Drosophila melanogaster: one gene and its partners. The protein of the gene in region 1 interacts with the protein of each later gene in a pairwise test. Each region holds a gene or a part of one and is shown in the gene's direction. Other genes may lie near its edges.

Region 1 (5,669 bases):
AAAAGCAACCCCTAACAAATGAGCGTGTGTTCATTTTATTTGTGCCCTGTGCTGCGCACGGTTATTTTTCAGCTGCACCAGAAAAAGAATGGTGGAAATCGATGTATAAAGTTGGTTGTCTAAGCCCGTATGCCCTGCTACGTTTGTTCTTCTATACTTTTCAGAGTTCTTTCCTCCGCGATCCAATTCGTTCGACTAAATACACCTGCCACGCGTCGCCATGGTCCAGATATCCAACGAGTCTTAAGGGCAAGGAGGGTGCGACTCCTGCGCATGCTCCTGCATTTAATTAAATTATTAACTACGAAAATGACTGAGCTAAATAAAGAGGGAGAGATACATCTACGCTTCATCAACAGTAAAACGCAAAAATTAAACCACGAGCGTCACTTAGATTTATATTAAAACTTTTGATAATAAAAATGGTCAAAAACATTTACTTAAAATATAAATATTTAAATAACAGAAATTTCACTATATACTCTTGTAATGCACTTATAATAATTTTATATACAACCTATTAAATAATATTTTTACGTGTAGAAATGAACGCGACAACAGAAATATCTATATGCAAGTATACATATACTTGTATCCCTCACTCTTTTTCACTTTTTCTTTTTTCGCCGATCTCCTGCTCTCTTCTGCAGGTCCTGGCTACGAAAACTCGTTTAAATTAAGATTCAACATTCATTTTTGCATTTCAAGTTTCGTTGGAAAAACGCACGCGTCGCTCCACCGATTAGGATATATATATATATATATATATATACCCATATATACCCATATAATGGGTAGGTTATATATCCTGCCTCGTTCCATCCTGCTCCTACCCAATTATCGCAAGGGCCCCGCTCTTCATCTCGCTTACACTTTTGAGTCCTTTCCATTTCCCGTTTTCGCGGTCCGGAACTATGCTTCATATCAAAGTAATTACGCATTTAAATCCTCCAAGCGTTGCGTCTGGAAAAAGGATATAAACAAGGTAGTCCGAAAAAAATGTTTACTGGTTGTCGGGACAACATCGAAAGGTTACTTAACTTGCTTTCTGATGGTTTTCCTGAAGAACAAGTCTTTCGAAATAATAAAAAAAACATTATTAAGTTTCCGAAAATATATAAAAGACTTCCACAAAGATAGAGTTAAATTAACAATATTATATACTAAAGGAAATGAAGCATTTATGAAATATAAAATTTAAATCATTCAAAATTAAAAGATTCCTACACTAGGTACTATAATTTTGAAGGTAATATCCAATGCTTGTTCAAGGTATGAGTGGCATTTACATGCAAGCGGTGACCGGAATTGGACCTATGATTAATCAATTGTACCGAACACGCGATTATACCAACCTTGCTTATGACTCTCCGCTTCAAGGAAAAAAGGATCGCGTATATGCATTATATGCATTCCACTTCAGTTAAATGTCCGCATACACCATAGATCACACAGTTCACTGAGTGGAGTTTCTAATGACGACTTCAACCCTATTCTAGGCATGTCACCGGCATTTCTCCCAACCATTTATTAAAATGCTTCAATGGAATTTTGGAAAATGCGAAAATTTAAATAGAACATTGTGCTGCCAAAATTTCTGCAACACTCAAGAACAATGATAGTGTTAATGATGGTAAAATAATGGAAACCAACTACCGATCCCTCCGTTACAATGCAAAAACTAAAGAGTGGAGACTCCAAGCGAAGTTCAGCATGCAAAAAAGGTATTGGAAATGGTGAAAGGATTTTATTTATAGGAACAACACAGAGAAGCGCCGTTTGCTGGTCATGGTTGAAAAGGTTTTTTTGTTATCAGGATTTCGGTTTTCGCTTTGGTTTTGGTTTCGGATTCGGTTTTTGATTTTGGGATCCGGGGATCTAAAATTTGCCAAATAGAAGTGAAGAAGTGCTATTGCTGATGATTTGGCAAAAGAAAAATGCTGGCAGAAGCAAACGAGGGTAACGAGTTGAGGACAATAAAAATATTACACCTGGTCGCCGATTTGGCATCTTTTCACTCGCTCATCGATTGATGATCGTGACAAAATGAACCGATTTTTGTGAACAGAGCGGAAGTTACAATTTACAGTCGCCGTTTAGCACGACACAGTGGCCAATGGCAAGTTACAACAGTCTGAAATAATCAATTTATTATTTCAAAGAAGATGTATGAAACTTCATGTATGTCTAGTATTTCTTTACCTTAGACCGCATTATGTAATAGAACAAATAACAAGTATACACCGTTAAAAGTCAAATGTGTGAACATTTAATCAAACCCAGAACTAAATTATTCCCAAACAAATTAATATATTTAAAGCAACATCCCAGTAGTTCTAGAAAAAACACAAGTAGCCACAAACAAAGAACCGCAGTTTTCACTGCAAACTTCCTTCTAGAACTTGTGTCACATCCCTTTGATTTACTTAACAAAAAATTGTGATCCTTTTGATAATTTAATTGGAGAAATAAGTGAAATTGTTTGAACACCTTTAGGGAGCGTACTCCGAATGTCTAATAAGGAGGATCCCAGGATCTTCTGTCGATCCCTTGGATCCGTCCGGCGCTAATGAATAGAAGCGTGCGTGAGCTGCACATAAAATTGGCGATCGCGACTTTTGCTAAGTTAATTAACACAGAAATCAAATTGCTGGCGTGCCGTAGCAAAAAGAGCCCTCACTCAGATACCTTGATCGTTTTTCGATATTTCGAGTTGATATTTTGAGTTTAAAATTTGAGTGTTTCTTTTGGACTGTCGAGTGAGAACAGTTTTCCTGTGGGATACTCGAGTACCTGAGACAGAGAAAGAGAGAGAGACTACCTGTGGCTCACTCACTTCGAGTTCCCTACCTGTGCAGGTAGCTCTTGCCGTCACTCTCTCTCTCTCTTTCTCTCCGATTCTCTCGCCCGTTTCTCTGCCTGAGTGTTGTGCAGAGAGTTGCATAAAGGGTACATAACGCGAGGGTTTAGGACGAAGGGACTCATTCTTGTGTAAGGTGTCAAACGATCAAGTTCAAGTATTGTACTCTGTTCATTTATTTTTTTCTGTTGATCGTTATCCGGAAAGTTAAAGAAAGCTCCGAGTGTGTTAATGAAAAATAATAATAATACAACGAAAAGCACTACCATGTCATCGAGTGTGCTGTCCACCAACGAAACGTTTCCAACGACCATCAATTCGGCAACGAAGATCTTTCGTTATCAGCACATAATGCCAGCCCCTAGTCCATTAATTCCCGGTGGCAATCAAAATCAACCCGCTGGCACAATGCCAATTAAGACTCGCAAGTATACACCAAGGGGTATGGCACTGACCAGATGCTCTGAATCAGTATCATCTCTATCGCCTGGTTCCTCGCCGGCTCCATATAATGTAGACCAATCCCAGTCGGTCCAAAGGCGCAATGCTAGAGAACGAAATCGTGTAAAGCAGGTGAACAACAGCTTCGCCAGGTTGCGGCAACATATACCACAATCCATAATCACGGATTTGACAAAGGGTGGTGGTCGAGGACCTCACAAAAAGATCTCCAAAGTAGACACACTGCGCATTGCCGTCGAGTACATCCGGAGGCTTCAGGATCTGGTGGATGACCTAAATGGGGGCAGCAATATTGGTGCCAACAATGCAGTCACCCAGCTTCAACTTTGTTTGGATGAGTCCAGCAGTCACAGTTCGAGCAGCAGTACTTGCAGTTCCTCAGGGCATAATACCTACTATCAAAACACGATCTCTGTCAGTCCTCTGCAACAACAGCAGCAGCTACAGAGGCAGCAGTTCAATCACCAACCGCTGACAGCGCTCTCATTAAATACCAACTTGGTGGGCACATCCGTACCAGGTGGAGATGCAGGATGCGTATCCACCAGCAAAAACCAGCAAACCTGCCACTCGCCAACATCATCATTCAACTCCAGCATGTCCTTTGATTCAGGCACCTACGAAGGAGTTCCCCAACAAATATCCACCCACCTGGATCGTCTGGATCATCTGGACAACGAATTACACACGCACTCCCAACTTCAGCTAAAATTTGAACCGTACGAACATTTTCAATTAGACGAGGAGGACTGCACCCCCGACGACGAGGAGATTTTGGACTACATCTCTCTATGGCAGGAGCAGTGACTTAATCCCCAAAATTTACCACCACGCCCTATTTTCTTCTAGTCAATGTTGAGTTGAACCAAGTGCCTCAAATTGTAAATAACACTAATACAAAAACAACATACCCCCAATTTTTTTTTCTTACTTTAAGCTATTTTTTTACATTGTTAAGAACCACGAGACCAGTTTCAAATTTATATATTTATGAAATAACTATAGCATGGAAACGAAAACATATTTTTTTGCTAATACAATTTTATGTTAATTAGTTTTTGGTGGAAAAATAAAATGAAAAAATTAAACGAAAAATCATATTTAAGTTCTTTTCTCAAAGGGGATCCATCTATTGATCAGGTTTGTAAAACATTCGGGTACTACTTGCATTGCCTTGCAGTGCCGATGGGACCATGTGCAGCCGTTATGTACAATTAAGGTTGCTTTGCATTGGTTTTACAAAATCACTCTTATATCCAAAAATCATTAATACGAATTACAGATAACGCAAAACATAGATCAGTATTTGGTTTTAGACCAGTAGTTTCCTATTTCTTCAGGTAGTTTCTAAGAATGTCAAATTATCGCAGGTAAGACGATGACACCTGTGACACGTGCCACGAGGTTACTAGTTTAAAAGGTTACTAGTTTTACAATTACGACTTTGAAATTCAGATCAGATATTGAACTTAAAAAAGGAAAAGTGTCGAAAAAGCAATTTACAATTTATTCAATATAAGAGGAGTTCGTATTTATGTATACATTACTACTTAAATATATAAAGTGAGGTAGTTTTAACCCGATCAACACTTTTAAGACTTTTTCTTTTGAATTTGCTCAGCTTAACTATAGTTCCTAGTATTCCCTATAATGTACGGCCTTACAAAAAAGTATTTTACCCACTTTTTACACTTCTGAAAAAGTTAAATGCAAACACCTTACCCCAAACAATAACTAAGTTCTTCACTCCCACGCACCGTTGAGATGTCAGTCCGTTGGAATAAACCTCTTCCACTGGCCAGACAATAAATCACGTTGCATTAGAAAAACAAACGCATGGGAGAATGCGACTATAGACTATATTTTGACACATTAAAGGGCATCACAGACAAAGGACCTCATTGTCCTTAGGATCGCTGGATGCTCCAAAGGAAGTGATAAGGGATAGGGGATCTTTTCTTTCAATGTCAACGCTGACACTTGACAACTCAATGCAATTGTTTCGAATCATGAAAATGGGTTCTGGAATACCATTATTTTCTTTTGCGAGACTCTGTAGGCAAGGCTTAACGTTCAGCTCCGGAAGAACTTTCACCTTTCCTAAAGAATCTAAAGAAAGGCAACCTTTTTTTCAGCTGCGTTTTTTATTTTATTTGGTTCTGATTTAAAAGCGTAGTTTAATAGATTTCTCGGCGCCCAGGCCAGCAACATTGTGGTACAAAAAACCAGCCGCCTGCATTAATCAGACCCCAGATATTTGACCAAATTATAGGCTCGCCCAAAGTTTCGAGGACTAAGGACGGCAGATTGATGGCTAAAAAAGCAGTTTTAAGTCGCAGCTAAGCTC
Region 2 (5,149 bases), on another chromosome or scaffold:
GTCCATCGGTGTCTGCGTGATTATTTTGCATATTCGCATTACTCATACGCCACGTGTGCCGGTCGAGTTGAAAGTTGAGGCATCTTGAAAGGCGAACCATCGAAATGCCTTGAGAGTCTTAATTGTTATGGCTCCAGTCAGCAGAAAGGCAAGCCAAGTCAAGCCAAACGGCTAACGGAAGTCATGGCCAGAAGACAAACAAACAGAGCGATTCTGCAGCATCATGGGAAATGCTTAGCCAGGCAAAAAGCACGGCCACAAAAAATAACTCCGAGGCGTCCAACCACAAGTGTCATATTGCTGCGATGGTGATAAAGTCGGCCCAACAGCAGCTGTGAAAAAAGGGGCATAAAAAACAGGCAACATTTTATACACTCAGTGCTGACCAGTAGCCCTGAGATCAGCGAATTAAAAGAAATATGTGGAGGACGGGCGAAAAACGAATCTTAGAACGACAACCGGATGTTAAAGTTTATTACGAAAGGCGACAAATGCCGAAGGGTTGGTAATCGGACTATGCAAAAAGAGTTTTATTTCTTTCATTTTGGAACCCCCAATGCGCCGAGATAGCGAAACTGTTACACTTAATCGATACGCTTCAACGAAAAGTCAACCCACAGCCCCAGCCATAGTGGTGGTTGTGCACTGTGAGAAATATTTGAAAACTTAAAAAAAAAAACTGATTACATTTGAATTCGGTTATAAGTAAAATATCAAAATATATATATTTTCCATTCTTCCGAAATGGGGTGATCTATATTTATTGGTAATTAACATAGTTGCTGTTATTGAAATTGTTTCAAATCTACTTTAAACTCCCAAAAAGACCGCACATTTTGTCCACGTGCAGTTGTCGCAGTCATCATCATCAGCCAAGCATGCGACATAATTGCGCGAGTTAAGGCTGCCCCTCCACCCAGCCATCCCTCACCAGTTCGCCCACTGCCCCCCATTGGCGGCTGACAGTCAACCCGCTTGAAATCAACCAGCAGCAACAGCAACAACATTTCAGCAATCCATCGGATCGCATCACAATCCAGCCATCCGTCCAACGTGTGGGAAACACACGACAAATCTGTTTCCCACGGTCTCGTAAAGTAGGCACACCGCACACACACACAAACACCCATCCCCATCCACTGAGCCATGGGACCCACAATCACATAGGCTACTGCCTCGTAGGCTCCCTCGTGTCTCATTCTCATTGTTGGTGTGAGCGGTACGGAGCAGCGGACTTCGACAGCGAATGGGAGCCGAGCACTGTCATCATTGACAATAAGTATGACATGGATGAGGGGGGATGGAGGGCGGGGTGGAGCGGCCTGAGAGACACGCGCAGTCGCCGAGAATGAGATCCAATCCGAAAGCCGACTGTCGACTGCCGACTGCTCAGTTTCCCTCTGGCCATGCAATCAATTGAAGACGACGCGCGCCAGAGCACCAAAGCTGCAGATACAGATACATTTGTATCTGCGGCGGGGCACGCTCTCGCTCGCTCCCATTGCATGCACCTTGGTTCGAAGTCGACTAGTTTCGGTTAATAATACTAATTTTGGACTAATAGTATTACTTTCAATAAGCAGATTTTACGAAAATAATTGCAGTTTTATTAACTTTGTAAGTGATTAATATTTTTTGAAATTGCTTTCTTTCAGGTCTTAAAATTTAGCAAATTTTTAAATCGTCCTTTTGGTTGAACAATTATGTTGCATACTTTTGAGAGTCATATAAAAAATAGTTGTAGCAAAATATAAAGAACACAAATTTAACACTATTGGAAATGAAAAATATTGATATTATATTCGCATTGCTAAAATGGATTATTTCTTATTTTTTATAATAAGCATAATTAAGAAGGTAAAGAGTTCCATGGTGATGGTCCCACTGTACCCCCTGCAGACGGTACAACCCCCATCATCGATGGCCTACAGTAGCCTCTCTTTGTGCCGCTGCCGAGCGCCGCTACCGATCCGCGACCGAAAAGAACCGAAGTGGAACTCGATCTTGGGCCCGAGTGCCTGGGAGCGTGTGTGAGTGATCATGCGGGAGCTTTGTGGCCGGGAGAGCCTGATCCCCGTTTGCCGGGAGAGCGTGGCTGTCATATAAAAGTAGGGCTGGGAACTAGTTTGCCACTCATTTCGTAAAAGTGCCGCCACTCGAACGCACCGCAATCGGTGGAACGCGCAACGCACGCGCAACAAACTCGTCAAAAAGTAACCAATCTATGAAACCAACCAAAATCAGTAGTGATAATGTGCAGTTGAGAGACTAAATACAAAAGAACAATCCTTAAAATACACAACATAAAACAACCCAATCGATCATGGTCATGGAGATGTCCAAGACGTATCAGTACCGCAAGGTGATGAAGCCGCTGCTGGAGCGCAAACGGCGAGCCAGGATCAACAAGTGTCTGGACGATCTCAAGGATCTGATGGTGGAGTGCCTGCAGCAGGAGGGCGAGCACGTCACCCGGCTGGAGAAGGCGGATATCCTGGAGTTGACCGTGGATCACATGAGGAAACTCAAGCAGCGGGGTGGTCTTTCGCTGCAGGGAGTAGTGGCTGGTGTTGGCAGCCCACCCACCTCAACCAGTACCGCCCACGTGGAGTCCTTTCGCTCCGGCTATGTGCATGCTGCCGATCAGATTACCCAGGTCCTGCTGCAGACACAGCAAACCGATGAGATTGGGCGCAAGATAATGAAATTCCTATCGACGCGACTAATTGAGCTGCAGACGCAGTTGCTCCAGCAGCAGCAGCAACAGCAACAACACCAGCAGCAGCAAATACCGCAATCATCAGGCCGCCTAGCCTTCCCGCTGCTGGGAGGATATGGACCGGCAGCCGCCGCTGCCGCCATTAGTTACAGCTCCTTCCTGACCAGCAAGGACGAACTGATCGATGTGACATCCGTCGATGGCAATGCGTTATCCGAGACGGCGTCGGTTAGCTCGCAGGAGTCCGGCGCCTCTGAGCCCGTCTGGAGGCCCTGGTAATTGGGCGTGCCCAATATGGATCTTATCCCTAATATTATAATCGCAACCCAAAAAAATGGCTATTGACCGTTCTGCAACAAGATCCGTTGTCTTCCAAAGTAAATCATATCAACCTAAGTTAATTGAGGTCTAATCGATTTCTGAATGGTTTTGAAATACTTTTAGTTTTAGTTCCGATAATGGTAATTTGTAAATTAATTGTTTAATTTCAACTGTGATATAACTAAAGTACGTTGATCAATCAATCAGTGAATATATATTCGAGTGCGCTATTTTCCTACTCCAAAAGTTCCCTAAGTTTAATATCTCGTTGCGCTCTCTTTATTGTTTAGCATATATTAAGCTTTAAATAATTTATAAATGTTAATTTATGATTAGTTGAGAAAGAATAATCAAAAATACACTACCCAAATAAAATAAATGATTTAAATTGAAAACACAATGTTTTTCTTTTGCGGGATTTCAAAATTTTATAAAATATTTATTTTGTTATATTAATAAATATAAACAAACTGAACGATATTATGCAAACCTAACGGAATACTGTTCATTCTTGTCCCAGTCCGCCAATGTTGTTTACTGCCCCAATAAATTACCTTTAATTGAACATCACCTCAAATGTATGCAACACATTTTCGACTCGACCCTGATTCATTCCCATAAGCAGATCATCTAATTGGAGCCTGTTCTTACCACCAATCTGATCGGCAATCAACAGATCCTCTCTACCTGCCCGATAACTGGTTGGCATTGTGGTCCAAATCAACAGGCCAAACAACAACCGTCAATATGCACTACCTGCTGGCAGGTAAATTGATCAACAATAAGACCAAAAAAGGTTCAGGATCGAATCGGATTAGGGTCCGCTCGTTTTTCAAATGAGTCATGCCAATTAAGAAAGGACTTCGCTCCCCATTTATTTTCTGTGTTGATTTGTAAACGGAAAATTGTTGGAACAATAAGGGGGAAACAAAGAATTTAGATTCCTATTCAATTATTTTTTTTTTGGGTGAAATGTAACACAATTTTTGGTAAAGATTACCAATTTCCAAATGTGTGATTTAAGAGAAGGCCCATTTCATACGATTTATCAATGATTAAAAGTAAAAAAAACAGTGGTTGATTTCATTTAAATTGTATATATATTTTGATTTTTTTGTGTTTGTTAAGTAAAATGTATCACAATTTTTGTAAAGCTCTTCAGTTGAGTTGATCGGCTTGCGTGTTAATTTTTGTGGAATGGTTTCAAAAATTAACGGAAGACGTTGATTAAAGCTGGAGATCCAATGGAAGACATAGTTGCCGGATGATGGATGCAGGTTGCAGGACGCTGATATTTTTTAGGCCTGAACCCAACGATCCTGGGGGATAGCGATGGCGTTGGAGGTGCTGCAGTAGAGGGGCTCGACGAGGTCGTTGTCGGCTGGCAAATCGGAGACGGCGGTCCAGAAGAATGTGCCGTGAGCGGTGCGGACGAAGTGAACGGGAACGGTGGGCAGTTGCTCGAAGTCGTAGTCCTCAATTTCGCAGGACTGGGAGAGACGCTCGTTGGCCTCGTTCTCGCAGGACTCCAGAGAGGCGCAGATGGAGGCGGATTCCAGATCGGCGTTGCGGCTGTTTTCCATGGATTCCAGAGACTCCAAAGAGTTGGCCTTGAGGGCGTTCTTGAGGTTCTGCTCCTCCTCGACGCGCTGTTGCTGCTTGAAGATCTTCTGCAGCAGTTTCTTCACGCTGTAGGACAGCTTCTTGTTCGATTTGATGGTCATGGTGTTGTTGGTGTTGATCTTGTTCTGGCACATGATGATGTGTTTTGGAATTTTGTGTTTAGCTGCTGTGTAGCTGAGATGTGTACTGTACGAAGCGTTGAGCTCGAATGATGCCTGATCCTCCGAGCCAGGGTCCTTTTATACTCGCCAGGACGTGGAGAAACCCGAAGCCGAGCAGGTCACAAAACACCGAGTGTGGGAAACTACAAGGATACGTGTCCCGAAAAATCCTATACACAGTGCGGATACATGGCGAGGCAACAACAAAAACGGCAGGTGTGTTTTTCGAAAAGGGACTGCATCGGCATTAACCTGCGTGCGTCGGAGTGTGACGGCATGTAGTGTCGCTCCGCTCGCACCTGTTGAAGGTGCGGGCAATTTTATC
Region 3 (4,834 bases), on another chromosome or scaffold:
TCTCACAGTCGCCAGAAAAATTGTAACGGCCCGTTGTTCAGCACACTCTCAGCACGCAGTGCACTGCACACACACACTTCCTGCCGCAGCCAGCGTTCCTCAAACCGGCCACGTATATTGTTTATATAGTTAACGAATGCGATACATTTAATCTTTAGTGTGTGTCAATTTGCCGTACAGTCATTTAGTTTGCATGTCCCTCGTCGATCCATCGAACAATCATCCCTTTTTCTGGGACCTGGGTCCCACGATGATGATGTCCCGACGTGAGCAGGAATACCATACGCGTATATGTATGCCACTTAGCGATGGACGATCCCAACCGATGCCATCCGAAACGAAACCCAGGGCCCAAGTGTTCAACAGAAGCTACAATTCAGCATTCATAATTGACAAGAGCAGGAGCGAGGGAGAGGGCGATATGTGTAGGGCCCACGATGGACAAGAAAAAATTAAATAAAATAAAGGGCAGGTGGTAGTTTTTTCAGCACTACCCGTGACTCGCACTAGCAGCTCGGTCAGATTTACAGTGGTTCGAATGGAACGAAAATTGGTTGAAAACAATTTAGGGTCTTGTCACAATCTTTAGATGCTTTTAGCTACAAACTACAAAATGGTTTCTTTTTTTAGAAATTTTTTAAACATCATAACCTGACAAGAACATCTTTTCCAAATATTTCTTTATTTCACCCATCTGGGTACAGTAATCCCATACATAGATATTCTGTAAACTGCAACCTTCACGAACCTTAATGTTTTTCAAGACTCAGGTTCCCACTCACCGTCGCAGCTAACAAAATTATCCGTAGCAAGTAGAAAACACCTTTCACAAAAGTCCCTATACTCGGACTATATATGCCTAGAAAAACCTCTAGGAACAAATGTACCTTTCCAACATAGCAGATAGTTTAGTAAAAATTCTTTACAAGTAGAAACACATCGAGAAATCCATAAACACTTACTCTAAAACCTGCAAGTCGTAAAATTGCACGCATGTTCCGTTTGGTAAAACCCCAAAAATCACATTCGAAAACTCACATTCCCACGACTTTGAATAGAGGTTCTCAAATTAACCGTAGCAAGTTGAGAACAGGCAACAAAAAATCCGTAAGATACTGATTTCCAAACCTGCGAGTCCCAAAATTGCACACATCTTCGCCTTGGAAAACCCCATTTCCGACATCCCAAAACTCGCATTCCCACGATCCCTACAGAAATTGCTAAAACTTTGTCTAGCAAGTAGATAACAGTATGCGTAAATTCCGTAAACCTTAAATTTCACGTAGTTGGAAAAGCCTTGAAGAATTCATTCAAGCAAGGCACCCTCAAAATTCCCGCATGTGTTTCATCGGTTTGGCCCACTGTGCCATGTGCATAAGGGCTCGGAACTCGGAGCTCGGACTCGGGACTCGCACACGGGCTACCTCCGATTATAACTTATAACACCAACGAGCGAGAAAAATCTTGTGGGAAACTTGAGGGCAAAGTGTTTCCCACGATTCGAATGTCAGTGGAAAGGAAAACAGAGAAGCAGCATGTGCAACCACCGTCGCACCACCACCACTGCACTATCGCATCTTCATCCCCTGCCGAGACTCACTTACACCGAACACCAGTGGCCATAGCAATAGTACTGAGAACATATTTAAAGTTCTAGATAATGTTTATATTTTCAAAATCACTACTATTAAGAAGTGTGCTAATTTAATTTTTTAGGTGTAAACGTATAACATTATGTTAATTTCTTTTTGTTTAATAAAACGACATTTAAGTGCTTTAAGGGAAACCCATTTGAAGTAATTGTTAAAAACGTAACGTACTTCTTAGGTATATAACAACAAATTTGTATATTCGCTCGAAGAACTATAGCTGCTTTAAACACATTTCTCATACTATTTTTACCGCAGGTGTGTTCCAAACTTGTTTGTGGAGAAAAACCCACCACCGAAAATGCAGGCGAGAGGATCGTGTCCCAGTGACTGAGTAAAAGTAGTTTGCTCCGCAGGTGGTGGTTCTTCGGAGGCTCCGCAGCTCTCTCTTCTCTCTTTCTCCGAGCAGCGTGCGCTGAGCACGAGACGCTCTCGCGGCGGCACGTGCAGCTATAAAAGCAGCGGTAACCGGAGACGAATGCAACATTTCGAACGCAATCGTCGTGCAGTCAACATCTCAGGATAACCTCCTCCGAAAGATCGAAGAAGTTCTTCAACAAGTCGTTCTTCCATTTACCTAAACGCAACAAATAAACAAAACAAACACACAATGGCCACCAAATACGAGATGTCGAAAACCTATCAGTACCGCAAGGTGATGAAGCCCTTGCTGGAGCGGAAGCGTCGTGCCAGGATCAACAAGTGCCTGGACGAGCTCAAGGATCTGATGGCCGAGTGCGTTGCTCAGACTGGCGATGCCAAATTCGAGAAGGCCGACATCCTGGAAGTCACCGTGCAGCATCTCCGCAAGCTGAAAGAGTCTAAGAAGCATGTTCCGGCCAATCCCGAACAGAGTTTCCGTGCTGGATACATCCGGGCAGCCAACGAAGTGTCCCGCGCCCTGGCCTCCCTTCCCCGAGTGGATGTGGCTTTTGGAACCACACTGATGACCCATCTGGGCATGCGTCTCAACCAACTGGAGCAGCCCATGGAACAACCGCAAGCCGTCAACACTCCACTCAGTATCGTCTGTGGATCCAGCTCTAGCTCCAGCACCTACTCCAGTGCCAGCTCCTGCTCCTCCATCAGTCCCGTTTCCAGTGGATATGCCAGCGACAACGAGTCTCTGCTCCAGATCAGCAGCCCCGGACAGGTGTGGCGTCCCTGGTAAACAAAGATCTACTTGGAAGGACTGAATTCCCGACGGGCAATCACGCAATTGGAACCGCAGCTTTAGAAAAAATGCTTTACAATGATCCTCATTTATTTGTTACGTTACCAAGTTTTAGGTTTCTAAGTTAAGTCTGTGATAGGGCACGCTTTATTAACTTTTGTCTTAAATCAATCGAGCAGAAGTCTGTTTTTTACTCTACATATATACAAATGTTTACCAGCTAAGAGATCTCAAGAACACAATATGAAAAGATACAAAATGAAAAACTTAAATACAAATCAAAATATGAAATGAAATTATACAAGAATCTTATTATTTGGGGAATCTATTTTACAGCACAATCCAATAGGGGATATTGAACTTCAGTATTTGTCTTTAAATTCCAATAGGAAGAAGATTCCATTGAAAATATTTAATGTTGGTATGCGCGAACTTTAAGGTCCAATATAATAAAACGATCGTGTGCACTAGCTTATTTAGGACACGTGTAAAAAAATGGACTTCCCATAAATTATGTTCATTATCTTAAAGCCCATCATTATCCTAAACGAGCTATATTAATAACAAGTTTCAATAACAGTTAAACATAATAGCAAAACATGCTCCACTAATGTGCACTTAGTTGTCAAGCATGCATTTAATAATAAAAAGGAATTTAATTTCATATTTTTAATGGTCGTTATTTTTCATTTGCACGATGTGTTTACTTATATTCTATTTCAGTAACTATTTTGTCAACAGACTATGAAATGAAAGTATTTGACATCCTTTAGCACAATACAATACATTGTTATAAACCTTAAATGCGGCATTATAATTTTTCCACCAATAAAAGGTCAATAAGAATGGTCAAGAAACATACAAATGAGTTTCAGCACGCGTCTCGATTACTTATCACACATTATACCCTATTATATTTAATCCCTTAAAATTTATTCTTTTACAATTAATCAATTAAATTACATCACATATTGAGGGTTGCAATAGCATTACGTAAAATCATAGGTAAGTGTATTCAATTCCAAATTCATACCACATTATTAACCTCTGACACCCAAAATACTATAAGAAGTGAGAGTATCCCTCCCCATTACAATAATCAATGACGTTGTTTTCCACCCATAAAATGTCAATATTAAGAACCCTCAAGATTTGTAAGGGAGATATACAAATCCATCTCAATTATTAAGTGAGGAAGTAGCATACCCTAGGCGGTTGCAAGGGAGGGACACAAATCCCATAGGTAGGCATCGATGTCAGAGGTCGATTAGTTTCCTAATAGAAACAGAGTTTATAAAAGTTAACTCGAAAGTGAAATTTACTCAATGGAATTCTAATACACCATACTTGCATGCGAAACCCAAGATTCCGAAACCAAAAGCACTTAATATTAGCTAATTAAAAATGGGTTTAGAAAGATACGCCAGACATTATAAGTTCCTATTAACTAAATTCAAAGAAAACTTTTGTATCCTATGATTACTTTAACAATCTTATTAGGATGAGCCACACATTGAACAAACCACATTTACCATAAGACAAGATATTTGAAAAGTGCACATCAATTAACCGGTGAAAAATTACTAATTACCAATTAGGGGGTTGCAGGAAGTTAACTATGTGCATCCCATAGGTAGACATTCCGGCACAAGGCCCACCTCACCTCAGCCTGGGCATTGAGTACTCAACCTCGGCCACGAGTGTGGCACGCGGGGCACACTTTCTGCGCCCGTTTGACCCACGTCCCCCTGCCAACCACCCAAAAACCCGAGATCAGACAGCCCAAACGATGGAACGATCGAACAACCAAGGCGACCCGGCACGAAGCCAATATGCCACATCCACTAATTGTGTCCAATAAACACTCGTCGACGGGGCACTGTGGGAACGGAAAGAGGAGATCTCAGAGTTCGCAGTTCGGAGGTCGGAGCAGGAGTAGGGGCTTATACAATCATCGTCTGCTGGCATTGATGAAACAATAAGCGAGTAGATGGCACGGCAGGATAACAAT

The links.
Region 2: the proteins of sc (region 1) and E(spl)m3-HLH interact in a two-hybrid assay, tested with the Drosophila melanogaster proteins (2 studies listed by BioGRID).
Region 3: the proteins of sc (region 1) and E(spl)m7-HLH interact in a two-hybrid assay, tested with the Drosophila melanogaster proteins (3 studies listed by BioGRID).

The regions. Positions count from the first base shown.
Region 1 is NC_004354.4:393,086-398,754, forward strand, and holds sc (scute), read left to right. Parts: upstream 1-2,974; 5' UTR 2,975-3,091; coding exon 3,092-4,129; 3' UTR 4,130-4,412; downstream 4,413-5,669. UniProt on the Drosophila melanogaster protein: AS-C proteins are involved in the determination of the neuronal precursors in the peripheral nervous system and the central nervous system. Also involved in sex determination and dosage compensation.
Region 2 is NT_033777.3:26,019,697-26,024,845, forward strand, and holds E(spl)m3-HLH (enhancer of split m3, helix-loop-helix), read left to right. Parts: upstream 1-2,126; 5' UTR 2,127-2,323; coding exon 2,324-2,998; 3' UTR 2,999-3,431; downstream 3,432-5,149. Other genes in the region: E(spl)m4-BFM (enhancer of split m4, bearded family member), read right to left, coding at 4,339-4,797.
Region 3 is NT_033777.3:26,034,904-26,039,737, forward strand, and holds E(spl)m7-HLH (enhancer of split m7, helix-loop-helix), read left to right. Parts: upstream 1-2,134; 5' UTR 2,135-2,259; coding exon 2,260-2,820; 3' UTR 2,821-3,116; downstream 3,117-4,834. UniProt on the Drosophila melanogaster protein: Participates in the control of cell fate choice by uncommitted neuroectodermal cells in the embryo. Transcriptional repressor. Binds DNA on N-box motifs: 5'-CACNAG-3'.